Linked DNA regions of Canis lupus familiaris. The protein of the gene in region 1 interacts with the protein of each later gene in a biochemical or structural test. Links are inferred from orthologs where the notes say so. Each region holds a gene or a part of one and is shown in the gene's direction. Other genes may lie near its edges.

Evidence for each region.
Region 2: the proteins of GRB2 (region 1) and RAPGEF1 form a complex in vitro, tested with the Homo sapiens proteins (2 studies listed by BioGRID and IntAct, with this or other methods). The link is inferred for Canis lupus familiaris from reciprocal best matches to the Homo sapiens genes GRB2 and RAPGEF1.
Region 3: the proteins of GRB2 (region 1) and GAB1 form a complex in vitro, tested with the Homo sapiens proteins (5 studies listed by BioGRID and IntAct, with this or other methods). The link is inferred for Canis lupus familiaris from reciprocal best matches to the Homo sapiens genes GRB2 and GAB1.
Region 4: the proteins of GRB2 (region 1) and PLCG1 form a complex in vitro, tested with the Homo sapiens proteins (2 studies listed by BioGRID). The link is inferred for Canis lupus familiaris from reciprocal best matches to the Homo sapiens genes GRB2 and PLCG1.
Region 5: the proteins of GRB2 (region 1) and PTPRA form a complex in vitro, tested with the Homo sapiens proteins (3 studies listed by BioGRID and IntAct). The link is inferred for Canis lupus familiaris from reciprocal best matches to the Homo sapiens genes GRB2 and PTPRA.
Region 6: the proteins of GRB2 (region 1) and FRS2 form a complex in vitro, tested with the Homo sapiens proteins (2 studies listed by BioGRID, with this or other methods). The link is inferred for Canis lupus familiaris from reciprocal best matches to the Homo sapiens genes GRB2 and FRS2.
Region 7: the proteins of GRB2 (region 1) and ITK form a complex in vitro, tested with the Homo sapiens proteins (2 studies listed by BioGRID). The link is inferred for Canis lupus familiaris from reciprocal best matches to the Homo sapiens genes GRB2 and ITK.

The regions. Positions count from the first base shown.
Region 1 is NC_049230.1:5,987,322-5,991,495, forward strand, and holds the start of GRB2 (growth factor receptor-bound protein 2), read left to right. Parts: upstream 1-1,268; 5' UTR 1,269-1,420; intron 1,421-4,174. UniProt on the Homo sapiens protein: Non-enzymatic adapter protein that plays a pivotal role in precisely regulated signaling cascades from cell surface receptors to cellular responses, including signaling transduction and gene expression.
Region 2 is NC_049230.1:52,543,205-52,547,533, forward strand, and holds the start of RAPGEF1 (rap guanine nucleotide exchange factor 1), read left to right. Parts: upstream 1-1,401; 5' UTR 1,402-1,756; coding exon 1,757-1,820; intron 1,821-4,329. UniProt on the Homo sapiens protein: Guanine nucleotide-releasing protein that binds to SH3 domain of CRK and GRB2/ASH. Transduces signals from CRK to activate RAS. Involved in cell branching and adhesion mediated by BCAR1-CRK-RAPGEF1 signaling and activation of RAP1.
Region 3 is NC_049240.1:731,168-734,897, reverse strand, and holds part of GAB1 (GRB2-associated-binding protein 1), read left to right. Parts: intron 1-1,659; coding exon 1,660-1,749; intron 1,750-3,482; coding exon 3,483-3,576; intron 3,577-3,730. UniProt on the Homo sapiens protein: Adapter protein that plays a role in intracellular signaling cascades triggered by activated receptor-type kinases. Plays a role in FGFR1 signaling. Probably involved in signaling by the epidermal growth factor receptor (EGFR) and the insulin receptor (INSR).
Region 4 is NC_049245.1:29,785,862-29,789,005, forward strand, and holds the end of PLCG1 (1-phosphatidylinositol 4,5-bisphosphate phosphodiesterase gamma-1), read left to right. Parts: intron 1-50; coding exon 51-212; intron 213-326; coding exon 327-415; intron 416-493; coding exon 494-678; intron 679-848; coding exon 849-891; 3' UTR 892-2,622; downstream 2,623-3,144. UniProt on the Homo sapiens protein: Mediates the production of the second messenger molecules diacylglycerol (DAG) and inositol 1,4,5-trisphosphate (IP3). Plays an important role in the regulation of intracellular signaling cascades.
Region 5 is NC_049245.1:18,845,207-18,849,441, reverse strand, and holds the start of PTPRA (receptor-type tyrosine-protein phosphatase alpha), read left to right. Parts: upstream 1-1,378; 5' UTR 1,379-1,508; intron 1,509-4,235. UniProt on the Homo sapiens protein: Tyrosine protein phosphatase which is involved in integrin-mediated focal adhesion formation.
Region 6 is NC_049231.1:11,804,374-11,808,887, forward strand, and holds the start of FRS2 (fibroblast growth factor receptor substrate 2), read left to right. Parts: upstream 1-1,678; 5' UTR 1,679-1,827; intron 1,828-4,514. UniProt on the Homo sapiens protein: Adapter protein that links activated FGR and NGF receptors to downstream signaling pathways.
Region 7 is NC_049225.1:53,849,948-53,854,374, reverse strand, and holds the start of ITK (tyrosine-protein kinase ITK/TSK), read left to right. Parts: upstream 1-1,411; coding exon 1,412-1,549; intron 1,550-4,427. UniProt on the Homo sapiens protein: Tyrosine kinase that plays an essential role in regulation of the adaptive immune response. Regulates the development, function and differentiation of conventional T-cells and nonconventional NKT-cells.

The DNA.
Region 1 (4,174 bases):
AGTTACTTCTTCAAGCCTCATCTGCTGCTCCCCCGTTCTCACCCGCCTCACACAGGAATCGAACAACTTAGCATCGCACAGAACACGACTCTCTCTCACGCCTCCGTTCCTTTGTACAGGCATGCGGTTCCCTTCGCCCGAAGCGCCTTTCCCCGACAGCTCCGTCTAGTGAACTCCTACTCGTCCTCCAAGACTCAGCTCAGACATCATCATCACCTTCTCTGGGAGGCTATTCTGAGATGGGCAGAGTAGCAGTTCTCCCTCCCATCTTTTTAGCTTCCTCAGCATTCTCCCAAATAATTCTAACATTGCATATGGCATTTTTTTGTTTTCTTCCGCTCCTCTAATTTTTTAAAAGATTTTACTTATTCAAGATTTTATTTATTCAATTCATTTTTAAGATTTTATTTATTCAAGATTTGATTTATTCAATTCATTTTTTAAGATTTTATTTATTCATTTATTCATTTATTATTCATAAGATTTCATTTATTCATTATTATTCACACACAGAGGCAGAAACATAGGCAGAGAGAGAAGCAGGCTCCATGCAGGGAGCCCAATGTGGGATTCGGTTCAGGGACTCAAGGATGACGACCTGAGCCAAAGAAAGATGCTCAACCGCTGAGCCAGCCAAGCCTCCCTCTCCGGCTCCTGTAGACCGCGATTTCCTCGATTTCCTCGAGGGCCGAGATACCTGTTCATCATTGTACCTCTTTACCCAACACCTGTATACCTATACCTATGCCTAGGATTAGCACACATCAGGCACTTGATTAGACCCATGAGCGAAGAATATGTTCATTCGTCTAACAGTGCGGTTTGGACCGAATTCTCAAGCATTTCAAAAGCTGGTCCTCTATTTGGAGCGCTTCAGGATAGAGGGAGATTCCGACATCCCCCGGCAAAATCCTCGGTTTGATGGCAGGAAAAGGGAAGTGATTAGGCTGTGATGAAGAGTTGCTCCTTCAGGGCTCAGCTGTCATCTACCCTCCTTGGCACAGAGAGGGTTACAGCGACCCAGAGGCGGGGCCACGTGGGTGCCACCTGCTCCGGGGCGGTCTGGCGCAGGCGCCCTGGCGTCTAGACGGCGGCTACCTGCGGGGCCCCGGCCGAGGAGGAGCGCGTGCGCTCTGGGCCTTTTCCGCCGGGGGAAGTCTCGCGGGGGCGGGGCGAGGCGGGACGGGGCGGGGCCGCGCGGGGAAGTTCTCGCGGGACCCCGACGAGGAGCGGAAGCCAGGCGGCTGTGTTGCTGCTGCTAGCGAGCGAGCGGGCGGCGGCGGCGGCGGCTGCGACGAAGACTGAAGCGGCGACGGCGGCGGGAGCAGGCGCTGCCCTCGGGGAGCAGCAGCGCGGTCCGCGGCCGCTCGCACCGCTGCAGACGGGTCGGCCGGGCGCGGAGCGGAGCTGCTGCGCCACGGTGAGTACGGGCGGCGGCGGCGGCGGCGGCGGCGGCGGCGCTGCTGCTGCTCCGGTGCTGCTGCTCCCCTGCTCGGCAGCGGGAGGTGGCCCGCGAGGACCGGGCCCGGTCTACCGAGGGCTGCCAGGGTTGGGGATCAGGGTCGGGGCGACGAGGCCTGGCGCGGAGAACGGAGTCCCCCGGGCTCCGTATTTCCCTTTTTGGGGCGCTTCCTTCCTGGGGACCGTCCTTCCCTTAGCTTAGCTCGGGGCAGGAGGCCGGGTGCGCCTCTTTAAGTTTCACGCTTTCTCGGGGGACGGCTTGCGCAGAGGGGCCCGGGAGAACCCCGGGAGCCCTGGGTACTCATTCTGTGAGTCAGTCTGACTCGGCCCGGCCCGGGAGGCGGGGGATTCGCCGCGGCTGCAAGTGTGGTGATTGATGCTCTTGCGACCTGCACGGCCACCACGTCACCATCTCCCGGTGTCTTTGGGCCAGAATTTGGGGAGGGAGCCCACCGACCCTATGAATACCGTGATTTAGAACTTTTGCTGCCGGAGCCAGCTGAGATGTCTAGTTTTTTTGTTTTTGTTTTTTTGAAACTACACTGAAAAATACTTGTAAAGAACAATAAGCAGCAGTTGGTTGGAAATGCTCCGAGGAAAGGTTTCTGTGCAAGAGGATAAGGAAGGCACTGGTATTTTTCATTTGCATCGCTCTCCATATACGCCCCGTGAGTTAACAGCTCGTTTAGGGAGTTCTTCCAAAAGGTACGATTTGCAGAGGAGCCGAAGTGCACTCGACCTGTGTCTTTTGGTACTGTTGACTCAGAAAAGAGCCCAAAAGACACATGAAAGAAGATAGCATATCTCTTTGGCTTTCCTGTCTCTCTCTCTCACTTTATACTTCTCCAGTAGTTGCCTTCCCTTTCTACCTACTTGTCTCCATTTTCACTGGGGACACTAAGTGTTTGCTTGTGTAATGCAAGTCATTTGCTCATCCCTCCCCCCCTTCTTCTAATCTACTTCCCCTTCCTCCTTTTTGTCCCCTCTTTGGCATAATTTTTCAAGGTTTCTGCCCTTTGGTGCAGTTTGTCTTCTCCCTCATTTAAAGATTCCGTTTTCTCTCCGGGGAAGATACCCTTTTTCCTGCTTTATCCTTCACTTTGAAGCGTCCACTGTGTTCCTTCAGTCAGCCAGAAGAGTTGCCAGAGAGCCTTGGGAGACTTTAAGTTCTCCCCCTGGGAACTGGGAGGCTCAAAGGATTGAATTCATCCGTAAGTAATCAATACTGCCACTAGGTCACAAGTGTAGCTTGCTTGTGTTATTTGTGTTTTAGTTGTTCTCTTCATTTTAACATTGTGCTTTTGTGCCTGCTTACACTTTTCTTCCTATGTCTCTTTTATACTAGTAAGGAAGATTGGGTCAATTTGGGGTTTGTAGGACTTCTTTTTCGGCTTTTAGTGGGAGTGGTGTGTGTTAGAAAATGAAAACCAACCTTAGACCTATGTTACAGTAGAATTAAGATAACATTAAATATTTAAGGGAATAGAATTTCTTTAGATCACTGATGAATTAAAACTTGCCCATTGGGCAGCCCCGGTGGCGCAGCGGTTTAGCGCTGCCTGCAGCCCAGGGCGTGATCCTGGTAGACCTGGGATCGAGTTCCACATCGGGCTCCCTGCATGGAGCCTGCTTCTCCTCTGCCTGTGTCTCTGCCTCTCTCTCTCTCTCTCTCTCGCTCTGTGTCTCTCATGAATAAATAAAATAAAATATTTAAAAAAAAAAACAACTTGCCCATTGTGGCAATTGGATTCTTTACCAGGGTTCTTCTAATGGGGCATCGTTGTTACTGTTCTTGGGGTTTTTTCGATATAAATAACTGTTTCATTACTCCTTCCTTTGTCCAAAATTTTCTGAATTCCCAAAATAAAAACCGAAGTTAATTCTTGTAATTGGCTTTCTTTGATACTAAAAGCAAGCATTTAAGTGCTTGAGGCAGTTTACTCCCTTAGCAAGTGTATTCAGATTTGAGGGATTGCTGGGTTTTAAATACTACTAGTTGATGGTACTTAGCAGTTTTTTTGAGAAATTGCTGTTATGTTGCCTGTTGTGCAGCAGCAGTTCTGATTGTTGCCTAGAACAAAATAATAATAGATTTTGGAGAAATTAATACAGAATAGAGATGTACCATGCTCTCCTGAGAGAAATTAATAGTTCCTTGCTTAGTTCAAAAGACTTTCCTAGCACTACTGAAAGGCTATTGAGAGCCCTTGGTTTTATTTGTTAAAGTTGGCTTTTTCCTAGTTGAGCCAAGTGAATGTGCATTACTTTTATTTTATGCAAAGACATTGTAGTGCATTATCTGGAATGCAAAGTTTGAAATCTGGTTAAGGCATTCTACTAGTACAGCAGTGATTCTTAAAATTTAGCATGCTTAAGAATTACCTGTGAATCTGGGATGCCTGGGTGGCTCAGGAGGTTGAGCATCTGCCTTTGGCTCAGGGCGTGATCCCGGGGTTCTGGGATCGAGTCCCACATCAGGCTCCCTGCTACGAGCCTGCTTCTCTCTCTGCCTGTGTCTCTGCCTCTTTCTCTCTCATGAATAAATAAATAAAATCTTAAAAAAAAAAAAAAAAGAATTACCTGTGAATCTTATTTTAAATTAGGCTCTGGGGCTAAGGCCACTACATTGCAAAACTCCAGAAGGCATCCCACAGTGAATCAGTGTCTGAATGAGACTATTTTGATGCAGCTGGTCCAAGGACCAAAACTGTTG
Region 2 (4,329 bases), about 47 Mb from region 1:
GAAATGTTACTCTGATGGTACAAATGTTATAAGTGAAATTTTATTTGCACTAAAGGAATGAGGAATTTACCAGAATTTTGCGACGGATCTCACCCTGATATGGGGAGAAAAAAACCCTTCGAGGGTAAATAATTTCTCTTTAACATATCTAAAGCTGGATGTTTACAGTTAATAAAATAATAAAAACAGCAAGAGTCCCTCTTCATTAAGAGTATCTGCCACCTGCCAGGCACTTCCTTAAACAGCATGGTTAACCTTTAAACTGTCCTATGAAGTAGGCAGCATGATTGTACACATTTTACATAAGTGAAAAAGATCAGGTCCAGGGAGGTTAAGTTCTTGTTGCAGAGCTACCCACCTGGGAAGTGCCCACAGATTCGGATCAGGCCAGCTTCCCTCCAGGGCCAGCACCTTTCCCGATCTCCTGCCTTCTCCAGTCGTGAGGAAATGGGTAGTGGCTTTTCTAGCCAAGAGTAAAGATGGAGCTAGATCTAGCTGTTTCACCAGCTATGTAGCCTTGATCCCCTCCTGGCTTCATCTCTAAAATAGAGGAGAAGTTTGGTGGACCCTCCCCTTCTGTGAGCGATTTGGGCTTTTGGTAGTGATACCTCAAGGGGTAACTGATAACATGTGGCCAAGTAGGTGTGATTCTAAGCAGTTCATACATCCATGTCATCCTTGAGGCATTAGTGCAAAAAATGGAACCACATCATATCAGCAGTGCAGTGAGTGTTCTACTGGTACCATTTCATTGTTGATTCATCTCGACTGTTAGAGTCCCATGTTGCCTCCCTAATGTGTGGACTGAAGATGGGTCACAAGTACATTTATACAGTGCTTTCATAAGAAAATGCATTTTGATTTTTTTTTTTTTTAGATTTTAGATTTAAAGATTTTATTTGTTTATTCATGAGAGACACAGAGAAAGGCAGAGACACCGGCAGAGGGAGAAGCAGGCTCCATGCAGGGAGCCTGATGTGGGACTTGATCCCGGGACTCCAGGATCCCGGGACTCCAGGATCATGCCCTGGGCCGAAGGCAGGTGCTAAACCGCTGAGCCAACCAGGGATCCCCAGAAAATGCATTTCGAGACAGAAACAGCTGATTTATTGATGAACCTTACAAATAAACTAGAAATTTCTTTGAGAGAACAGCTTTGAAATGAGGACCCTATGGTTCAGCTGCTTCTCCAGGAATCCCCAAATGATTCAAATGTAAACTTTCTAGAGGTATGTAAAGATAAATAGAATAGCCTGTTCTTAAGAATATCTCACTAAATCTCAAGCTTGGAAAATGTTTCTCACGGCACATCCCGAATTGGTCCGTTTTTAACTTTCAGCTTTTTGGCCACCCAGTTTGCCACTCCTCCCCCAAGGAAAGGCAGCATTGAAAGTGTTTGGAAGTGCAGTTCACTCTGAGGCCGCTGCTGTGCCGATGAGTAATAGAGTGTCAAAGGAAGGCCAAGGAAGAGCTTCCTAATATAGATGGACTGATGGGGGACGGAGACCCACCCGTGGGGCGATAACAAGTCTTTTCTTCTGGCTTCCTCCCTGGAAGCAAAGGGAGTTTGAAAGGCAGGAGGCAAGGACTGCTCTGAACAGAATTTCAGATTTTTCTTGGAAGGGTTTGCCAGGGCTTGCGAGGTGATTGGGATGTTGGAGAGATGAAGTCCCTTTCAGCCGGCACCTTGGTCCTTACTCCCTGTTCAGCAAAGACCTCTAGGCTTGGGAGGACCCTGTGAGCTTCTGGCTTTAGAATGGGCAATGCTGCTGAGAAACAGAAGCCCCGGAAGCGAAGCCGTCTGTGCCCCTGGAAGCAAGGTAAGCAGGCCCTGGGCTTTGTCTCCAGGAGAAAGGAGGCAGCCTTGCATTAGGATATTTTGGCTCCGCACCAAAGCTGGAACTGCTTGGCAAACACCTTCCACACCACAAAGGCTCTGTAGGTCAACATATTTTAAAGAAAATTAACAGCTCTCCTGATGATTAAAGTGATCTGTATCTCAGTGTGCTATCATAGCCTGGCTGAGAATGAAGTGCAGCTCCAGGTTTGTGCTCACTGCAGCATGTATCTGCCAATCGAAAATTCTAAGCTTTAAGAAATATCCCAAATAAAAATCTTGATAGCCAGGAGCTTGAATCTTTTGTAACAGTTTGGTGAGAGAATGTTATTAATAGCTTTAAATATATATCGTTCTTCTTCCGAAGAATTCAAAGTACATTCTGTTGGAAATCTTAGGTTAACCTGTCCTAGATGCCCATGATACTGGCCAGCATTGACTGACCATACTCGATGTCTCTTAAAGGGTTTGTGTTAGTGTCAGTCTTGAGGAGGAGGAAGCCAGTGAGACCACAAGCACTGCCATGGCACACCTGAAACTGGGGACCCATTTAGCCATGTCCCAGGGCAACTTAGTTTTCCAGTGTACTGAGCTGCTTTTTTCACGGTCATTAACCCTGCAGCCCAGCCGTAGGCCTTTGGGACTTCAGGTCTTGGCTTTTACCTCCACTTGCCACAGAAAGCAGAGCTAGCACTTGACCAGCAGCAAGACAGTTTGAATGCACCTGTATATATATATATGGATATGTGTTTATGTGGAAAATGTAACCTGGAAGAAATCTATGGAAATGCTAACAATAGTTGTCCTCTGTGGTCAGGTTATGGGTAACTTGTTCTTTTTAAAAGGGAAAAGTAGGTAGGCTGCTTATTTCATGTCAAGTTCCTGTCCCTCTGTCAGTCATCCTTTGTCTGACATGCTACGATGAAAAAAGTAATCACTAGTGGTCTTTGGGTCCTGGTTTGAACAAAACAGTGAGAAAGACATTTGGGGGACCATTCAGGAAGTTTGATATGAACTGGGTAATAGATGATATCTGGGGACTATTGCTGATTTTATTTTGTATAATGATGGTAATGAGTCATGCAGGAGAATGTCCTTTTGGATAGTCATGCTAAAGTATTTAGGGGTGAAGCATTATACTGTCTATAATTTTATTCCAAAGTGGTTCAGGTGAATGAGTGCATATATACATACAGAGAAGCAAAATAGTATAAATTTGACAAGTGTCAGAATCCAGGTAATTGGGGCACCTGGGTGTCGCAGTCAGTTTAAGCATCTGCCTTTGGCTCAGGTCATGATCCCAGTGTCCCAGGATAGAGCCCACATCTGGCTCTCTGCTCAGCAGGGAGCTTGCTTCTCCGTCTGCCCCTCACCCCACTCATGTGTGCTTTCTCTTTCTCTCACTCAAATAAATAATAAATAAAATATTAAAAAAAAAAAGAATCCAGGTAATGGTTCTGTGAGGCTTGTTATACTTTCTTTAATGTATTTTTACTAACCAGGAGGGGACACCATTACAAAAATGGTTGCTGGTTGCATCACAGTACAGTATCCTTCAGAAGAATGAATCTCAGCAGACATGGTTATTTACTGAGGTGGGTCAGGATCCAGGACTTACTCAGTGCTACATGGGTTGATCTCTCTAGCCACTAACAAGAAAATCATCATAAAAATCCAGTAATTCAAAAGCACTACTTTTATAACAGGAATTTAATATATTTACTTTCAGATAATCTCTGGTGTTTTTGTTTTGTTTTGTTTTTTAGAAAAATGTATAAAAGTTCTTGAAATTAACCATTGGAAGCAGCCTGGTTTACAGGCAAAATTAAAGCCAGCCTCTGTGTTTTATTTTACAGTTTGTGTTCAGTAGTTTCAATAAGAGGAGCTGTGGGAGTGTGGTGAGTAATAGCAGGCATTGCAAGGTTCACTGTGAGTTGGGGTAAAAGAAAGAGCAGCTCCCTGCCCTGATTTCTGAGTCTGCATGGGTCCCGTTGACCAGGAGTACATTTTGGCCAGTGTTGAGATTTGTTTATGCAGTTTAGACCCTGGGATAGGGGTTTGTTTCCCTGACCCCGAATCCAGGGAACCCCTGCTAAGGATCTGCAGTAGCAAGGGTGTGGAGCAGTCCTTCACAGTTTATCTGTTTGGCTGCGTCTTTAAGGGTTGTTGATGTTTTAGAAATGGGATTTTAGAGCAATATTTAGGAACCAGATTTTGTGAATCCCAGACACCCCTCTGACCCTGATCTGAGTATATTTTCCATAGTCTACACTCAACATCTCAGTGGATGACTGATGACTCCATGCTCCAAAGCAGAACAACAGGGTGTCAGGGTCTGCTTTTGGGCCAAGTGAATGGGAAACACATCTTTATGTGCATTTGGTACAAACAGCTCAGGCTGCTCCTGACTTCTCCGTCCTGTCTGTTGCCCTGTAGTGGCAGGGGCTCCTGGGAATACAGACTTTTAACCAGAGCCAGACATTTGTGATTAG
Region 3 (3,730 bases), on another chromosome or scaffold:
ACTGAGGGAACATCGACGAACCAGAAGCAGCCCTGAGAAGTGAATATTAAACTTGACCTCGCTCACGGATAAACTCTGTCATTCAAGTAGATGTAAGATCTCGAACTGAACTGAGCAATTCAAAATTGACCTCTAAGCACCGGTTTCCTAGGATTTTCCATTGCCCAAGGGGATAGAGAAGTACAACAGCCGGACAGCACAGGAGCATACGCCAGCAGGCAGCTATGGGGAAGCCTTCGTTTGGCCTCCGTAATTAATGTCATGACCCAAGCAAGTCACTTAACCTCTTTCATTCGTCAGGGTTATCGCATCCATAAAATGAAGAAGTTAGATTTGATCTGTAAAAAAAAAGGCTTTTAGCTGTAAAAATAAGTATATTTTTTTGTAGCAACCCTTACCCTCCGCCTCTTACTTTTTTTGAAGGAAAGTACATTGTTTCGGGGAGTTTATAAAAAACTGACATCCTCCGTTGTTTTTAGGAAAGTTCCCTGCCAGCGTGGGCCCTGGATAGGTATTCAGCATTAGGGGTAGGAGCACAGCCCTAAATTTTCTCACTCACATTTTAAACTATACCTGCCTCATTTCTGAATGAACTCAATGTATTAATTCCCTAACTTAGAAAATTGGTTCATTAGAGAATTGTCACGTTTTATAACCTAGAGATTCATACTTTAAGAAACTTAACCTGCAGTAGAGAAGGTACTAGATATTGACACTCAATCAGCAAATTCTAATTCTGCTAATAGATGTTGACTCAGTTTTGTAAATGCCAAAAAAAGAAGAAAATTTGGTGCCACTGAGAAGAGAGCAGCTTAAGTTACTAATTTAAATGATATTTCTACTCCGGCCTCCAGGCTTCCTATGGGAAAAAGTGAGGCCACTGCAGGATGTTAACCCTATCCTTTTCATGAGGCTTTCCAGCAGTACCTCTGTGTGGGAGAGTACATGAAAAGAAAACGAGGGCGACTGAATCTATGTTTTCAGACACTTAACATCGAAGCTAGACAGTCACTTCCAGAATTAAGACCTCTAATAATTACAAAATGATGTTGCCTGGGACCTACCAGTCGGTATCCAAGGGAAACAAACATTGGTCTCGGTTTTGGTCTTGGATTACCAAACAGTGTAGCGTTAACCTGCTCCTCTAGAAGGGCCCTTGGTCAGGAGGTGAAGGAGTAAGTTAGGTTAAGGGTTTTTAAATACCTACATTAAATTAAGAAAGTAATATTATAGGGATATAGGCTTTGATACTTTCTTATCAGACGTCAGACTTTGAAGAAAAGATGTACTTTGAGGTATTTTATCATTTTTTATTTGATCCAGTTTTCTAAGGCATGTTAGAGGAATAACTAACATGGCACATGTCTTTCCTCCCTTTCCCCAAATAAAGATAACCACTAACCAGTGTGGTTATCCCACTAAAACCCTACCATCTCTTAAATACTTTGCTTGTCACACTGTTGCATGTAAGTTCTTCTTTCCATTGTACCGAGCATGAACGATATACTGAACAAGATTGAAATATTTTCCACAAACTTTTGTTTATGCTTTTGAGATTGTAACATTTCTGCTCAGGGCTCTGTATGCTTTTTTTACAGAATCCATTTTTCCCATTAAAAAATAACATTATATTAAGAGAGTCTTCTTTTTACCAATTAGGTCAAAGTCCTAAAATTTTAAGACCCAAACCCCATGGTTTAGAGCGAACTGATTCACAAACCATAGGTGACTTTGCTACAAGAAGAAAGGGTATGTACTTTAGCACCGCATGCTGGATGGGGCATTGGGAATTTATTTTGTGATGTTTTTTTCTTAAGAAGAGCCTTAAGTACTACTGCTGTTGTAAATAAAGCTTCCTAGCATGTTATTTCTAAAGTGAATGCTTCCTATAATGTGTGTCTTCCCATTGTGTCTTTCCATAGACACAGTAAGTCTACTTGTTATGCCATTAACAGCAGCATGTTAAATTTGATAATACATAATATTTAGTCTTGTCCTTTTGCATTATTCTCTTAAACTTTTAGATATCAATACATTGTTGTATTTAAGCTTATGAACTACTTGTGAGTTCCAGATGTCTCCCTTATTTATATATGATGTGGTCTGTATTCTGTTCTGAAACAAAATACAGAATCACTTCCCGTGGATTAATTATTTTATGCCATTACTTAGAATTTGACAGCTAAACTGCCATTAGCCTTTGGGTTTCGAAAAAGTGAAACATGAGAGTTAAAGAAGTACATTTACTCAGCACAATATTCTGTGTCTGTCCATTTTAAGTATATGGGTGAGTAAGATTTAAACTCAGACTTACCTAGTCTTCAGAAAATCACATTGAGTTTTTTGTTTTGAATAGACAAAAATATTTATAAGCTCCAGTGACTCTACATAGTCCTTTAAAATGACCACCTATTTTATAGTTTGACAGTAATTACAACATAGTTGATTAAAAGTATGAGTTGAATAAAAGTATGCCCATATATGGACTAAGAGTGGAAGAAAGAAACCTAGAAAAATGAAAAATTTTTCTTTGGAGTGGCGAGATGAAATGTAACTAGAATATTCTCCTAATATGTTTAAAGAGTCTCCTAAAATATAATTAATATTAACATATCACATTTGTATTAGTTCTTTTGTCCATTAATTTCTGAAATGTTTTACTTTTTAAGTGCTGAGAGCTCTGTGGTATTTACTAGCATGATAATTGTCTATGGTAATAATGAGGTAAATAAGCAGAGACCACTTATAAGTCAAGCTAAAAAGAATATTAGTGTTTATTATTGTTTGATTTGGTAAAGGATATTTTTGGTTATATTAAGCTAAAAGTTCAAGGTGATTTTTAATTATGGCCTTCTCTCAGAGCTGAGTTTGAGTCTTAAAATATTATTATTGCTTTCTTTGTTTTCAGACTGGATTTGAAATAATTTAAAAGATTTGGTCAGTTATTTTTCAGTTTTTGATTTTGGCAAAGTTTTGTATTTAATACTTTCTATACATCATTTTATATATATAATTGTATAACTGATGCATCAATATTGAAGAGTAGAAATGTTTTTCCATAGAAGACTAAAGCTCTATACTTGGAGATAAAATTATTTTTTAAAAAAGGATATAAGGAAATAATAATGAAGGATATAAGGAAATAATACATCAAGTAACTATAAAGGAATTGGGTCACATTACCGTTTCTTCTCATTTAGTTTATTTTCATAAAATATTAAGAAGTAATGTGTTGTAATAAAGCTTCAGACTTTGAGTCAACCATCATGAAGCATTATTGGATTTAGCTTTTGTCCCTAATCATTTAGCTGTGTAACCTTGGGCAAATCACAGAACATCTGTGAAGCTCATCTCATTTGTGAAGCCAGCTGCTCTTAGGTGTACTCTGGCCGTATTGTATAAGGAGAGAGAGAGAGTGAGGATCTTGTTTTGTTTTCCAAATTTCCGTGTACTGAAGCCTCTTTTTCTCTCTTTCATTTCAGCCAAGCCAGCGCCTTTAGAAATAAAACCTTTGCCAGAATGGGAAGAACTACAGGCCCCAGTTAGATCTCCCATCACTAGGAGTTTTGCTCGAGAGTAAGTCTTTGTTTAAAATATGTACCTTGGTTGTTCACTATGATGGAAACTACCAGAACAGTGGCTCCCAGGGTATGGCCTGGGAAGCCCCCCCTCTCTGGAGTTCTGTGAGGTCAAAACTATTTTCATTAAGATGATAAGATATTTTTTGCCT
Region 4 (3,144 bases), on another chromosome or scaffold:
CCTGTCCTCTCATGGCGGTGGCCTGAGGCCTTTTACCCTGACTTTCACAGTGGACAATGGACTGAACCCTGTGTGGCCTGCTAAGCCCTTCCACTTCCAGATCAGTAACCCAGAATTCGCCTTTTTGCGCTTTGTGGTGTATGAGGAAGACATGTTTAGTGACCAGAACTTCCTGGCTCAGGCTACATTCCCGGTGAAAGGCCTGAAGACAGGTGAGGCCTTTCCTAGGGACAGGGCCTGGGCTCTAGCCCGGGGGCCAGGGCAGGTGGGGGGCTCCCCCTGCCCAGCTGCCTCCTGGGCTGAGGGCCAGGCTTTCCTCCTTCCAGGATACAGAGCTGTGCCTTTGAAGAACAACTACAGTGAGGACCTAGAGCTGGCCTCCCTGCTCGTCAAGATCGACGTGTTCCCTGCCAAGGTAAGGGTGGTGTGGGTGGCGGGGAGCCTCTCCAGGCCCCAGGAGGTGCTGACCCCTCGTGCACTGCTGTTGTTGAAGCAGGAGAATGGGGACCTCAGTCCCTTCGGGATGTCTCTTCGGGAGCGAGGCTCTGATGCCTCAGGCCAGCTGTTCCATGGCCGGGCCCGTGAAGGTTCCTTTGAGGCCCGCTACCAGCAGCCATTTGAGGACTTTCGTATCTCCCAGGAGCACCTGGCAGACCATTTTGACAGTCGGGAACGGAGGTGAGGGGATAGAGGATGGGGGGCATACTGGAGTGATGGGAAGGAGCGCCTGCTGCCCCTTCTGGGTCCTTCTCTTGCTTCTGTGTAGAAGTTACCCTTGTCTGGCTTTGGGCTGTCCCACTGGACTGGAGGCTCCACTGCCGATGAGGACACTCCCTCCTTCTGTCCAGGGCCCCACGGAGGACACGGGTCAACGGAGACAACCGCCTCTAGTTGTGCGCCAGCCTCGTTGAGAGCAGCAGGTGCCGCGTGCCTCCTGGAGTGCCGTGAGCTGGGTTCTTGGGAAGTGGCCTGTCGTGGCAGCCTTCCTGGCCCTGAGGCCTGGAACCTGGATTCCAGCAGTGACTGCTAGACAAAGCCAAGCCATGAATGAGATATATTACTGTTTGGGGCCTCCCTGCCGCAGCTCTGGGTGAAGGCAAAAACTGTACTGTGTCTCAAATTAATTAAGCACACATATCTGGTCCTGACTTCTGGAGATGGAGCCTTCCATCATGGGGCCGGGACCATGGCTGCAGCCCCTTGAAGAGAGAGGCTGCCTCAGCCCGCAGCTCGGGAGGCTCTGAGGAATGGCTGACCTTTCTAAGAGAGGAGCCGCAGCCGCCTCACTGGGCCAGGGAAACAAACCCAAGTTTACATTGTCCTGTAGCTTTAAATCTCCAGCTGGGCAGGGGTGGGGGCACATACCCCCCCCCCCCCCCCCGCAGTTTGGCCCCCGAGCTGGGGCAGAGGAGCACAGGATCTGCCTACAGAGGGGCCCCGCCTGCTCGAGGAAGACGACACAGCACAAGGGCGCGCTGCCCGTGGCCGGGGACTGCCCAGCCTGCAAGATACAGGGGATCATGTTAGAAATAGCAGCAGTGGGCAGCCCAGGCTGCCACTCGGGCCACTGGGTGAGGGGCCTGAGGAGCCGAGCCCCAGGGAGCTGCCTGGAGGAGGGACAGCAGCACCTCAGGACCATGGGAGGAGGAGGAGCAGGACCTAGACACCCCGTACTGCCATGGGCTATACCACCTGCCTGCTGCCCGAAGCCAGGGGCTGGCCCCAAGGTTGATGCTCTGGGTGCGAACCTGGAGTCCAGAACTGCTCACCAGGATGCCAGAGTTTGGGGATGTGCTGGCCCAGCTGCACGGCAAGTCCTGCCACACAGCAAGGGAGCCACCCGAAGGCAGAAGGTCTAAGAGCGCCATCGACAGCCTGGAGGCCTTTGTCGGAGACCGTGCCGGTGGGGCCAGGATGGCTGGGATGGAGCAGGTCACGGGCCACAGCAGGGATGTTCCCCAGTGCATTCAGGAAGCCCCTGCACACACAGACATGCCTCCTTCCAGGCGCCCTCCAGCAGGCCGGCTGGGGACCCCCACCCCCGCCCCCCGTCCCAGTTCAGACTGAAGACCACTCTCCCTATTGCAGCAGAAGACCTGGGATCGAAGTCTGCAGACAGCACTGCAGGAGGATGCGGAGATGATCCTGAGTGTTCGTTAAACCAGTCGAAAGTCCTGTTACTGGGCATCTGTGATGTTGGAGATGGAATTTTAAAGGTTATTTTTTGCACACCCCATTTCTCACTATCTTCATTATTTCATGTAGGTGTATGATTTTCTAGGTCTTCCACTTCTAACCGGAAAGCTGCTTGGTTGGGGTGGGGAGCAAAAATGAATGAACTTGTCTGTGCACTGTGGCAGAACTGTTATTTTTATGGATTTTACAGCTCAACTAACAGTGTTACTTTTCAAGATTTATATATTTATATACTCTTAAGAAAAACCACTGAGCCGTTAAAGCCTTGTTATTATTCGATCCTAATAGTGATTCCGTTTTCTATAGCTTACTTTTAGGGTAGAAGGTAAATTATTTAACGTTCTATTAAACTTTCCATATCATGGATTGTAAACCGAAGGAAATTATACAATTTCTGAGAAAATGTATTGGTTTATTTAAACCTAATTCCAAGGTTGTCTTTGCAATTATGACCTCCCAGTCTTGTCCATAGCAAACACATCTCTATATGGTTGCCAGTGTTTGGTTTATAATTTAAATATTAACAAAAATCTTAAACTTTATGGGAAAAGCTTTACTTCTGAAAAGGACTTTAAATGATGGCAGTACTATTTTCCTTCTCAGTAGTATCATACGTAACTAAGTTACTTCCTCCTGCTCTTCACCGTGGGAGGGAAGTCTTGAGGCAGAGCCCAGGGGAGGGGAGGGCGGGAGAGGGGGAGGCTATGACCTGTCCTGTGGACACACCTGTCCTGTGCTGTGGGGCCACTGGGACTGCGGACGGTAAGGCTGTCAGGGATGGGGTAGGGGCAGGAAGAGAAGAAAGAGTAAAGCCTATTCTGACAGGTGGTTTTCTGTATGCTTTCCCTTAGGAATGAAAGATGGTTAAGGAATTGCCTGCTTTGTGGGGAGGTGTGGGGACAGCTGCTGTGCAGCCAGCCGCTTCTGTCTAGCTGGGGGAAGGTGTGG
Region 5 (4,235 bases), on another chromosome or scaffold:
TGTAAACAGTCCTAAATTGGCGCCTCAACCTTAGGCAGTGGTGGGGACTGGAGGTGATAGGGGCACCAACCCGAGGAAATAGTTGCCGATATGTGGGCTCCTTCTGCACCAAAATGTACCCCCAGGTACCCCTTGTCAGAAGAGTTGCCGCTGGCCACAGATTCTTCCCCTGGGGCGCTCCTCCACCCAACGCAGGCGGCGCGGACTTGGGGTCCGGAATTGAGGGTCACCCAGCAAGCTCTGCTTGCACACTGCTGTGCAATCTGTCTCCAGCCTGCAGATGCCCAACCACTCGCCGTGGAGCGGGGCCTGGAGCGTCTGAGGGCCCTTGTATGGGGGCCACAATCAGCGGAATGTGTCACCCGCCACCCACCTCGACCATGTCCCCTGGCCTTCAGCCGCGTATGCCCAAGTCCCGTAGCCTGGGAACCACAGCTGCGGGACAAGACGTATGCATAGCTTTGGGGCACCACGCGTGCGGTAGGGACCCCTGGGAAGGGGTCCGCGCGCGCAATCCCGACCCCGACCGCAACAGCGGGACGCATCTCCGGATCCTCTCTCCCTTTGAACCTCCCCCCCGCCCCCAACGGCAGAACACCATGTGTCACATTTCTAGTCGGCTCGGTGGCAAAGCAGGCCCCGGTACGCGCAACTAGAAGGCGGGAGTGATTTCCCTGGGGCTTGGGTGGGGATGGTGTGAGCTGACTTGATGTAAGACGACATCTATGGCGCCAGGTCCATTCCAGGCACTTCGCGGGTTCTTCTCGCCGAGAAAGCCTACGTCCTTTGAATACCTTGCAGCAATGGGGAGGGGCGGGGGAGTAGGAATGGAATACATTTGGAGAGAGGGATGGAAAGATAGTTTTTGAGTCGCAGTCCGTCTTGGTTTCTAGACATTGGCACAATTCGTATTTGGCCTCAGTTTCCTCATCTGTAAACTGGAAGGCCCACGTCCAAGGGGCTGGGACTGTAAAGAGGCGGAAGGCGTGGTGCACGGGCTGCCAGTGCTCCCGGGGTCTGGGCGGCCGCGGGGTGCACGCACACCTCCCACGCCGCGCAGAAGCGGTCGAGACCGTGAGACCCAGCTCAGCGCCCCAGGCGTGCTTGCAAGCGAGCGCTCGGAGGCGCGCAGGGCGGGGCCCGCTAGGGCTGGGAGACGCCCGTTCGGTGTGGGCCAATCAGCGCCTGTCTCTGAACCGCCAATCAGGGCCCACCTTACAGCCAAGGCCGGGTCGGGAGCGAGGCTGCGGCGAGTGCGGCGCTGACAGAGACGCGCGCGCGCCAGCCAGTTCGGACCCCGGGCCGCGGCCGCCATCACCGCCGCCCGCCCAGTCGCCCCTCAGCCGCTTCCCCTCGCCATGGAGGCGAGGCCGCCGCCGCCGCCGCGGAGCTCCGAGCCGCGGGCCGGGCGGCGGCCCTGAGGGCGTGTGGCGGGCCGAGACGCCGCCGCGGAGTCGAGGCGGAGCCGCCGTCCTCGTTCCCAGCGGTCCCGCCCAGCGCTGGACTCGGTGAGTGCTCGCGGCCGCCGCCGCCCGGGTGGGCTCCGCGAGGGGGGGCGGCTCCAGGCTGCGTGTGGGAGGGCTCGCCGGCCGGAGCCCCAGGTCCTCTGTTCCCGGCAGAACCCGTCAGGCAGCTCCAGTGGGACCCCGCGTCCTTGCGCTGTCGGTGCGGGGGGGGGGGGGGTGTCCCCGGAAACGTGCGGGACAGGGCGCCGACCCCTCTCGACGGCCCGAGAACTTCGCGTGCGTCCTTCTGGGGCCAGGCCAGGGTGCTGCCGTAGTTCATTCTGAAGGGAGAAACTTGGAACAGTGAAGACAGAATTTGCGCCGGTCCATGTAATGGGAAGAAAGGCGAAGACTCCTGGCATGAGAAAATTTGCTCTTGCGGAGACTAACTTTTCTTTGCCTTAACCCCCCTGGCCTCTGGCTCAGGCCCCTTTCTTTTCCGCCCACTCCCAACTGTCGAGGCTGCTTAAGAAGGGAAATAGGGGGTCAGAGCTGCCCAGAATTCAAAATGAGCCAGTCGGGAATGCGGATTCCCCTTCTTTTTTTTTTTTACTTTTGGTAAATAAAGAATAACGTGTGTTTTAATTTTAAATTAGTTCTTGATTGTATTTCTTGAAGATGAAAATAATAATGGCAGAGCTGAGGTACCCCCCCCCCCCCCCCCCGAGATCAGTGATGATGTTTGTAAGATTGGAAAAGAGGAATGTTCAAAACCTCCCTCGGCGGGTAAAATGCCTTCAGAAACCTGTACCCAGGGTAGGGATTTGTGCTCTAGAACCAGTCGCATCTCCCAGGAGATGTCTTCATTTGCCACCTGCTTGCTGTTTAAGGCAGCCTAGAACCAGAAGATGGTGGGCGAAGAGAGAGCTGAGGGTGGAAGATGGGCGAACATCTTCCTGCCTGGCCACTCCTGCAAAAAAACACGGATCTGATGCTGTCACTTGTTTACTTAAAAACTCCTCGCTCTCCTTTTCCCATGGGATGAATGAAGCCCAAAATGTCTTATCAAGTCATACAAGGCCCTGGACGGTCTTGCCTCTATTTACTCATAGCTTAGTTTTTCGATTTTCCTTTCCCTCTTTCCTAGCCCTTTGGAGCTGCTTGACTGCCTCCTCACATGTTTGGATGTGCTTGTGTGATCCTCTTTCTTCCCCCTTCTTTAATCTGCCAAGCTCTGCCTCTGTCTTTAAAGATCTTCTGATTTGAGAAGCTTCTTGAGGCCAGGAGCTGTGTCATGTTTACCTTTCCATCCCCCATGCCAAGACGATTCTTCTTCTCAATTGTCTTGTAGGTCCCATTCCAGCTCTTTCCCCATATGTCTCGTCTCTGTTTACTTCCAGGTACCCACTTGCTGAGAGAATCTTTTCCTGAGTGTTTCCCAAAGGCCTACTTGGAGTGTATGGCACATCTAGGATATTTAGTATCTCAGATTGCCCATCTCTTGTGTCTGTTCTCATCCAGTCGCCATAAGTAGTCAGCAGGCAGGAACTGGCAGATCTCATATCCCACTGGTTTCCAATCTGCTTGACTGTCTCTGAAAGCCTCAAAGCCCCATGATCTCTTTTCACCTCTGCCTGCCCCAGGTGGCCTGGCTACTATGTGTATTCCAAGGCATGTGGGATCCAGGAGGCAATTCGCTGGGTGGGTACCTTTTAGTCACTTACTTACCATCTGGATGAAATTCAGAACCAGAAAAGCCAATCAGCTGACTTAAGTAAAGGTGTTCATGTGCCTTCTATTTGCCAGGTAAAGAGCTTGGAATACAAAATAGAAGCAAAGAAGTCAAATCTTTACTTTTTAGGAGCTCTCAGGACAGGTGGATACAAAAACCTCACAAGTACTATGAGAATGTAGTAATGATAATAACTGTTGTCTTTTATTTGCCTTGTGAGAGACTGTGTAATAAATTCATTCCATGAATTATCTTATTTAATCATTTCAGTGGTCGATTAGGGGCTTATTCCTATTTGGCAAGGTGGAAACTGAGGCCATATAAAGGGCACATGAGGGAATAGTCAGGATTTGAATCTTGGCAGTCTAGTTCCAGAACATCTGCCAGGCTGTATAGAGAGCATTCCTTTCCTGGGAGGGGACCTTTGGGTCACAAAGGATGCGTACTGAGTTTGTGTGTTGTGGACAGATTGTAGGAAAGAAGAAGCATCATGTGAGGGCTTGGAGGTGGAAAGAGTCCACTGTCCTTGGGGAGCAGAGGTTAAAACAACTGAGTTGGGTAGAGGGGAGAAGGAAGGGAGATGAGATTAGAGTGAGCTTGCAGGGCTCTCTGTGCTGTTTTTGAGTTTGGGCAGTGGAGAGCCACTGAAGGATTTTTTTTTTTTTTAAGATTTTATTTATTCATGAGAGACACGGGGGTGGGGGGAGAGGCAGTGACGGCAGGGAGCCTGTTGTGGGACTCCCCGGTCTCCAGGATCATGCCCTGGGCTGAAGGCGGTGCTAAACCGCTGAGCCACCCGGGCTGCCCGAGCCACTGAAGGATTTTAAAGATGGTTAGGGACCTCGACTGGCTGGGCTTTGGAAAGGTCATTTAGGGTCAGTGTGGGGCCAGAAGCTGATGCCCCTCAATTTGGAGGCAATGCTCAGGCCCCACAGAGGTGGAGTTATAGCCTCTTAAGACCCAGGGAGGGCTAGAGAGAATCCTCAGTTTCAGGAAAAGATAAATAAATGTGATGAAACACTCCAGCAGAAAAGAGGAAAAAACAAAACAAAACAAAA
Region 6 (4,514 bases), on another chromosome or scaffold:
TTTGCAGATAGTATGCATGCTAAGAGGATCCCCCACCCTCCTTCCCATATCTGGCCTCTCATACAGAATCTGCCTCAGATGTGCCTTCCGGATTTTGTGGCTGAGGAGTTTCTCCCACCCCCCCCTTCCCTTCTTTCCTGGCTTGGCATCTGACCCTGTGGGTCCTCCTACTGTCCCAGTTCACAAGTGTCACAAGTATCCAGGCTGGCCCCAGGACATTCTCTGGCTTACCTACCTTCATTTTTCCTATTGCAAAACCCTCTACTCTTTATTTCCTTAACCTTTTCTAGAGCCTATTGCTAACCCACAGTTTTCCAAACTGCGCCCACCCGCCCCCAGAGTGATCCACAGGAGGAGAAATTGTTCCCACTGATGGTGACGTAGGTTGACTTCTATCCAGTCCTACTTGGTACGGGGTACGCTCAAGCGTTTATCATTGTCATCTTGAATTCTTACGACAATCTAGAGGTGATTACACACCTATGCATATATATGCACACCCACACGCAAATGAGGAAACCCGGGCTTCAAGAAGTCAAGCAACTTGCTCCAGGTGAAAAAGTGAAAAGTCCATAGCAGGATGCAGGCAAGAAGATTCCAGAGTCTCCCGGCTCTTGGCTTCTGTTCAAATTCCAAGTGATGCTGAAATATAGGAACATAACCTGCCCTCTGCCCTTAAGCAAAGCGCTTCAAACTCTTGTTAGGAGTAGATGTAAAGGGACGCCTGGGTGGCTCAGTGGTTGAGCGTCTGCCTTTGGCTCAGGGCGTGATCCTGGAGACCTGGGATCGAGTCCCACATTGGGCTCCCTGCAGGGAGCTTGCTCCCTCTGCCTCTGTCTCTGCCTCTCTGTGTCTCTCATGACTAAATCAATAAAATCTTAAAAAAAAAAAAAAAAAGGAGTAGATGTAAAGATTCAATACGCACAACACAAGGTAAAATCGAGAGCCACTGTTTGTGGTATTGGGTTTGGTATCTTTGATCGGAGGAGGAAGGTACAGATAATGCAAGGTACAGATGATAACCAGCACCTCCCAGGGTTCGGGGACGATGCACGGGGTTAGGCACCTGCAGCGCATGACACGTAGTAAGCATCTAGCAGGGAGTTAACTATCATCATTTGGAAAGGACTGGAGAGGGACACCTGGTGGCTCAGCGGTTGAGCCTCTGCCCTTGGCTCAGGGCGTGACCCCGGGGTTTCAGGATCGAGTCCCGCGTCGGGCTCCCTGCATGGAGCCTGCTTCTCCCTCTGCCTGTGTCTCTGCGTCTCTCCCTCTGCGTGTCTCTCATGAATAAATAAATAAAATCTTAAAAAAAAAAAAAAAGGAAAGGAGTCTGGAGGCCGGCTGTGTAAGTGTGCACGCCCGACCCCCGCACCCAAATGCTCCCATCCTCGGCCTCGTGGCGCGTGAAAATAGGCGGCTGCAGCGGACCAAGTGCGAAGCGCAGTGAGGGGCGCAGGCGCCTCCCGGGGCTTCCGAGGGGCCTCGGCGTCGGAAAGGGTGAGCGACCAGCCTGGGGGCGGGCTTAGCGCGCTCGGCCCCGCCCCCGCCCCCGCCCGCAAGCCCCGCCCCGCCCCCCGCAGGCCCCGCCCCCGCAGGCCCCGCCCCCGCCCCGCCCGGGAGGCGCTGGCAGCTCAGCGCGGGAGCAGTTCCGGTGCCAAGACTCGTCCCTCCCCCGCTTCCCCGGAAGTGCTTCTCCCAGGCTCGGGCCGGAGAGAGGCCTTGCAGGCACAGCTGCCGAGCCTCGGTCGGCTCCGAGCAGGGGCTGGAGCCCGGGGTCCGCGGCCGCCCACCCGCTCCCGCCTCCTGCCAGCGCCCGGGCCGGCGGTGAGTGGCCGGGGGGGCGCCCCGGGACGGCGGCGGGGCGCGGCGGGGCTGGGCTGTCGGGCTCCGGGGAGGGGGCTCGTCGGCCGCCGGCGCCCCGGGCGAGTGCGGGGGGCGGGCGGGGCGGGGCCGGGGCGCGGGGTCCCGGGACCTGAGAGCGGGGCCGGGCCGGGCCTCGGCGCCCCGGGTCTCGGCGCCGCCTCCCGGGCGCGCTCTCCGCCGCCGGCCCTGGGCTCGGCCTCGGGCTGCAGGTCCCGACGTTGGTGCCCTCGGGGGCGGCAGCCGGGGGTCCTCCGCGGCGCTGCTCGTCCACACGCGCCGGGGGAGCGCCTCGGGACGGCGCCCCGGGGGCACCGGGTGTGCGGGGCCCGCAGCGCGCCTGCCCCGCTCCCCGCTCCCCGCTCCCCGGAGAGCCTGCTCGGGCGGCCGCTGCAAGGCGTTGAGGAAGACAGCTTGCCGGAGGGATATCAGTACTTAACTTCCCTTATTTTCTCCCACACTTAAAAAAAAAAAAAAGGAAAGAAAAAAGGAAAAAAAAGGGGGGGGAAAGGGAAGCTGTTCTCTAATCGGCGCTCCTGATTGTTGTGGCCACCCCGGAGTCACAGTGGGATGACGGCTTCAGCTTGCGGTTATTGCACGAATTGACGGCCGGAGGTTGGAGAATCACTGTGCCCCCTCTTCCCTGAAGTTTGTATATCTTCATATATGTCTTTTTATTATTTTTTTAAGATTTTATTTATTTATTCATGAGACACACACACACACACACAGAGGCAGAGACCCAGGCAGTGGGAGCAGCAGGCTCCACGCAGGGAGCCCGACGTGGGGCTGGATCCCTGGTCCCCGGGGTCACGCCCTGGGCCGCAGGCAGGTGCTCACCCGCTGAGCCACCGGGCTGCCCTATACCTTCGTATTTTTGGACCTGTCATTTTCCTTAACTTTCAAAGACTGTTTTCTTTCTTTCTTTTTTTTTTCTCAGTGGCTCCTTAGAGGTTCCAGTTGTGCTGCAATGCAGAGGTTGTCACAGGTGGATAGAGGTGGTGTGTGTGTGTGTGTGTGTGTGTGTGTGTGTTAAGCTGCATTTTGAGCTTTACCTCGGATAAATTGAGAATTTCCTAGAGGAGAAAACGATGCAGTAGGTAGGTAGTGTTTTTTAGTGGACTTAGTTCTTAGCTACTAGACTGTGTGTGGGGGGGGGCAGGGGGGAGGTTTGTATGCAACGAGGCTTTTCTGCATTTAATAGTGATTTTTCAATGATGATGGCAAGAGAATGCAAATGCATTCACTGAGGGTTGTGACCGGCTGCAGATGACCATTGCATTTTTTTTTATTTTTATTTTTTGCAATGTAAAGTGCACACAAACCGTTTATTGTGAAGCCAGTGACCCTTTTCCTGTGCTTCTCACCTTGTGCTTATATTAAGATGTATACTGTAGTTTTTTTAGGTACTTATCTCATTCTCTCTCCTCCCACTGCTGAAAGGGGAGGTAATATCCTGCATTAGGGAAAAATAGACTGAAGTGGTGAGTTCAGTGAGCTCTCTTCCTGTGCAAAAGAAAAGTTATTTCAGTGTTGTTGATTTTTCAGCAGGCAAAGGGTGGCTGACTTTTTAGAAATTCTTGTTTCTTTTATTCCTTTATTGATTGTGGTCAAAGGGTGGTTGATTTTTACAGTCCCTGGTGGGGGGAAAAGTTAAATTAGATTTAGACATTGTGGATTCTTAGCCATTTGCAATGCTTGATTGTTTAGAGCTTACGGTTGGAATATTGGAATTGAGAAAACCTGCAAAAGGAGTCAAGTTAGATATGATCATGGATCCATAGTGCAAGTAGGATAGTATGATAGGTTTTTTGATAGTATGATAGGTGTTTTGAAGGAGAAATATTTAAAGAATTGTAAGAGCAGAAAAAGGCAGTTGGGGAATTTCAGGTGCCCTTAGGCTCTGTAAATTTCATTAGGTTCAGGTCCATTCGATAGATGTTGAATATTTGCATTGTAAATTTTATTGTATTATTGAAGTCAATGAGTACTGAATTTTTGCTATGTTAGGCATCAAGCTCTGTTAGGCAACCGCGTAGGAATGAATATACAGCCGTAACCATTAAAATTCATGTTTTGGCAATAATTTTCTAAGGTGTGTCAGAAATCATGAAGAGGTGAATTGTATTGCTTGGGCATATTAAAATTTTTTTTCTAATTAGAGGTGGGTGTTGTGTGTTTTATGAAAAGTACTGTTAGGCATTATAGGATACAAAGATGAAGCATTTGGTCTTTAGGAATTTGAAATCTAGAAGTCCTGAGATGTAAGATATTTACATAAAAGTATGTAAATACTGTGTGAGTGGGATGACCTAAAGTTTGGAGTTCTATGAAAAGAAAATGGGTTCATTTTTAACTGGAGTAAGCAGCTAAAAAGTAGAAAGTGGTGGAGATAAAAGAGCACTCTGAAGCTGTTGAGCACTTGGCATCACGCTTCATGCTGGTCACACTACGTACATTTTCTAAGCTTCACAACGACATAAAAGCATCTTAATAAATAATGAGGGCAATGCTTAAGTATGTTAGGTAGCTGAGCCTCAGTTTGAATCCAGGTCTGCCTGGTGTCAAAGCCTGTGCATTTCCACTCCATCATGCTACTTCTCAATAAACTGGTAGCCTGAGTTTAACATTGCAGAGGGTGAGACTTTTCT
Region 7 (4,427 bases), on another chromosome or scaffold:
TGACATGCAGGCTAAGACTTGCAGTATAATTTAGAGTTAAAACAGGCAAATCAGAGGAGAGAAGCTGTTTTCAGGCTAAATGAGGTGTTCAAAGTGGTATAAGGAGCATACATGAGGGCTGGAGTGAGAATGTGTGAGCAAGCTGTGAGATGAGACTGGCAAGGAAGCCAGAGAGCAGCCCTGCAGTGCCTTTGTATAGGAGCACTGCTATCCCCTTTCACAGATTAAAAAAAAACTGAGGCTCAGAACTCTTGAGTAATTTACCTAGAGTCTTACAGCTAGTTAGGTGGTAGCGCCTGAATTCAAAGTGTGGTAGAGAGAAGAATAGATCCCCTAAAGATGTCGATGCCTAATCTCTGGAACCTGTGAATGTGTTAGGTTACATGACAAAGGAGAATTAAGGTAGATGATGGAATTAAGGTTTCTAATAAACTGACATTAAAATAGGGTGATTATTTTATATTATCTTGGCAGACCAGGGTAATCTCAAGGGTCCTTATATTTGGAAGAGGAGGGGATCCCTGGATGGCTCAGCAGATTAGCACCTGCCTTTGGCCCAGGGCATGATCCTGGAGTCCCGGGATCGAGTCCCACATCAGGCTCCCTGCATGGAGCCTGCTTCTCCCTCTGCCTGTGTCTCTCTCTGTATTTCTCATGAATAAATAAATAAAATCTTTAAACATTTTTTGGAAGAGGAGGACAGAAGAGCTTACAGTGGTACAAAGTGAGAGAACTCGACCAGATCTTGTTGGCTTTGAAGATGGAGGAAGGGAACCATGAGCCAAGGAATACAGGTAGTCCTAGAAGCAAAAAGGGCAAGGAAGCAGATTCTACCCTAGAGATCCTCCAGAAAGGATCACAAACCTGCTGAAACCTGGATTTTAGCCTGGTGAGGCCTATTTTGGACTTCTGAACTACAGAATTGTGAGATAATACATTTGTGAGCCACTGACTTTGTGATAATTTGTCAGCAGCAAGAGGAAACTAGTGCACAAACTATACCCATTGGCTCCAGAGCCCGTGTTCCCACCCTAATAGCAACACGCCTTAACTGTTCAATGGGCTAAATCAGGAACTATAAAGATTAAAGTCTAAAGCTTCCTATCATTTTGAGTCTAAGATTCTTCAAATATCATTTCCCAACCATACAGCCAAGGTTATGTATAGTTTTTACATACGCTTCTTAGTTTTGTGAATTTTGAAAGGATGTGGTTATAGCCTTTGACATCAGAGGAGAAGCTCCACGTTGTTGACTGAACACTGATCAAAAGATAGCTTCGGAGGCAAGAGGCCTTTTAACAACTCTTTGAAGATCAACTGCCTCCCCTGTGCAGTCCTCACCCCAAAGCTGTTTCCACAGGTGGTGCCACGGGGTGATGCCCAAAGTGCATCACTTCCCAAGAATTGGATCATGAACAACTTTATCCTCCTGGAAGAACAACTCATCAAGAAATCACAACAAAAGAGAAGAACTTCTCCCTCAAACTTTAAAGTCCGTTTCTTTGTTTTAACCAAAACCAGCCTGGCATACTTTGAGAATCGTCACGGGGTATGTGAGCACTTTGTCTTGTCTTTTTTTAAGCAGTATTTTTTATTTAGATGGGGCTGAATCATGAAGATACACATGGAATAAAATAAAGCCAAAGGAGACACAGACGTGCTTGTTCTAACTGCCTCAAAAGTACAATAAGAATCATCAGAAGAGAATGTGGAGAAAAGTCCAGAGGTGGGGTGGTTGTATTCGGTGATTTTATTCTAAAACCTGCAAAAGAATATGTTTAATATTCGTTAGTGATTTTTTTCCTGCAAGTTCAAGTTTAAAATAATAATGTTTTATATGGCAAATGTTATGATTGGATAGAATTTTAGCTTCATCTGAAATATACTAGATTTTATGGAACATAGATTAATAAAATATTAGCATTTAATGGGATCTAAGAGATAATTTTTGCCCAGTTTCCTTAATTTATAGTGGGGGAAACTGATACTTGGAATGATTAAGTAATAATTCAATGTCAACATTTTTATGAATTTAATTCTATTTGTCCCACTGTCATTACTCACTTGATATCTTGGAATAATATTCCCTGGGCATTTAACTATGTTAAAATTGCAAGACCCAGTGGTAAACCTCTTTATCCCTTGGAAAACTTAGCCAGAGACAGGAGCTGTTGCAGTGCTCTGCAGTACAGATCAATAGTTCTTATCCAGAAGACTACAGCTGCTTAGCTAGGTCAGTCTTCTTATATATCTAGAGATACTCTTATATTCTATAAGATCAGTAATATTATGATTGTTCATGTTGCTCTTATTATCACTGATAATAATGCTGATAATAACCCTGGTTATTAGACCAAACTCTACTCTCTCTCGTGATTGAGCCTGGGAACATGTCTACTTTTTGCATCAGATTATTTCTTTCTATAATGAAAGGTCTGGAGGGACTACCTACAACATTCCTTTCGTCTTTAAAAATTCTTGTACCTGTTTAGGCCTTCTTAGCAAATTTTCAAAGCTTGTGTGTGACTTATTACTATATCATTATTTATTTTTCCCATTATTAAGGAAGTTAGGCAAGAGTTTTCACTTACATTTTACAGAAGGGGAAACAACATTATGTGCTTGGTGGTCACTTAGAGACAAAGACATCTCCATTCCTAGTTGGGATCTGACTTAGTAGGTATAGGCATGAGTTTGGGATCTTTCAAGAGCCAGGCTTTGAGGTGTTCAATAAAATGGAGCCCTGAAGGAGGTCAGACTGGTGATGGAACCTGTGGATGCTGCCAGTGAAATCATACTGCTGCTTCTTTAGAGGTTCAGACATGCTAATCTTCAGGATACTTGTACTGAAAATAATCAATAATCAATCTGAAGGCACATGGTATTACTTATGGACAAGGTCCCTTTGCTAGATACTCAGTAAGTATTTGTTAACTAAGTTAACAGACAGCCAGTAGCCAACTTGGAGGATTCATCATATATAGCTGATAAATCACATGGCATGGGTCAATTTTTTTCTTACTGTGATATTATAACTTGGTTTCTTCTTTCATATTGAGAGAAGAGTCATTTGATTTAAATATCTTTTTCAAAGCCCATTTTGTAGCTTTCACCACTTTGTTTTCCAGGCATCATGAGCTTTAGTTAGCAGTGATCATTTTTAAGCAGTGTTGCTGTTTATGGGCTGTTTGGTTGTGAATTTAGTACAATATTATTTACAAATAATCACACAACCAAAAGGTCTTGATTCAGATTTTTGTTGGTTATAATTTGCATATAGGCAATGTTGTAAAATCACTCTACTTATTCATTTAAGTATTCTTAAAAAACTCCAGGACACTTAATTCTGGGGTGCCAAAGCTAGAGTTCCTAACATTTCCATACAGGATATAGCAGATATATAGTGCACAAACATCACATTTTTTGTTTTCTAATGCCTGTGGTTCATATTCATATGCAACATTGATAAAAGCATTTCTTTAAATATTGTAAAAATCCATTGGTTACAAATTTATCCAAGGTCACTGAGAAAGGTAAGGTGTGTGAGTTGTTAGTATCCATGCCCTATATATGATCCGTTGTTTAGGGTCATTGATTTGCACACAAGTGTGCACTATGTATTACCTGTAAGTGACAATAGCTCTATGCTTATGGGAAGAAATGTTTCTTAAAAACTTAAAGCCTCAGCCTTATCATCTGTGAAGTGGATATGATAATAGTACTCGCTTCACGAGAATATGGTAAAGATTAACAGAGAGAATGTATTTAGACTAAACTATCTGAAATTACCACTCAGTAGATCAAAAAAGACCAGATATTAGCAATTTCGTATAGTTCAACTTAATATGTAATGTACTTAGTTAGCATAAGCCCTGCCACCTAAGAAGCACCTAGTAGAAATTAGTCATTATTTGTATCATCATCATGTCTCTAAAGGAGCAAGCAGGGGAACATAACATATTCATTTTCAAAGGAAGAAAAACATTGAAATGTTTCTCAAAGCCAGGCTAACGTCAGGGTCCTGGATTCTTTCTATTCAGTGATTAAATGCAAGTCTATGGAGATATATATGCATGATGTGTGATGCTGAACCAACTATTGCCCCTCTCGGGGTCACAGCTGCTTTTTCTCTTTGCTCATTTTTAAAAATTATGTTCCTTGTAGTTTTAAGATTCTGTGGATTTATGACATCATATGAAAAATAATCCAACCTACTCAGAAAAAAATTCTGTAATTTTGCAAATGAAGTGTGTTTTTCCTAACTTTAAATATCCATGTCTGAATATCCATATGATTGAGCCTCTTATTCTAACCAGGATTTAATTCTGGTGTCTGGTGATGAAATGTGCAAGTGTTTTCAGTGGAGCCAGGAAGAACTCCCTGCTGGAGCAGTGGACCAGAAGGAAGCATCGAGTTGGCGAGTTGTG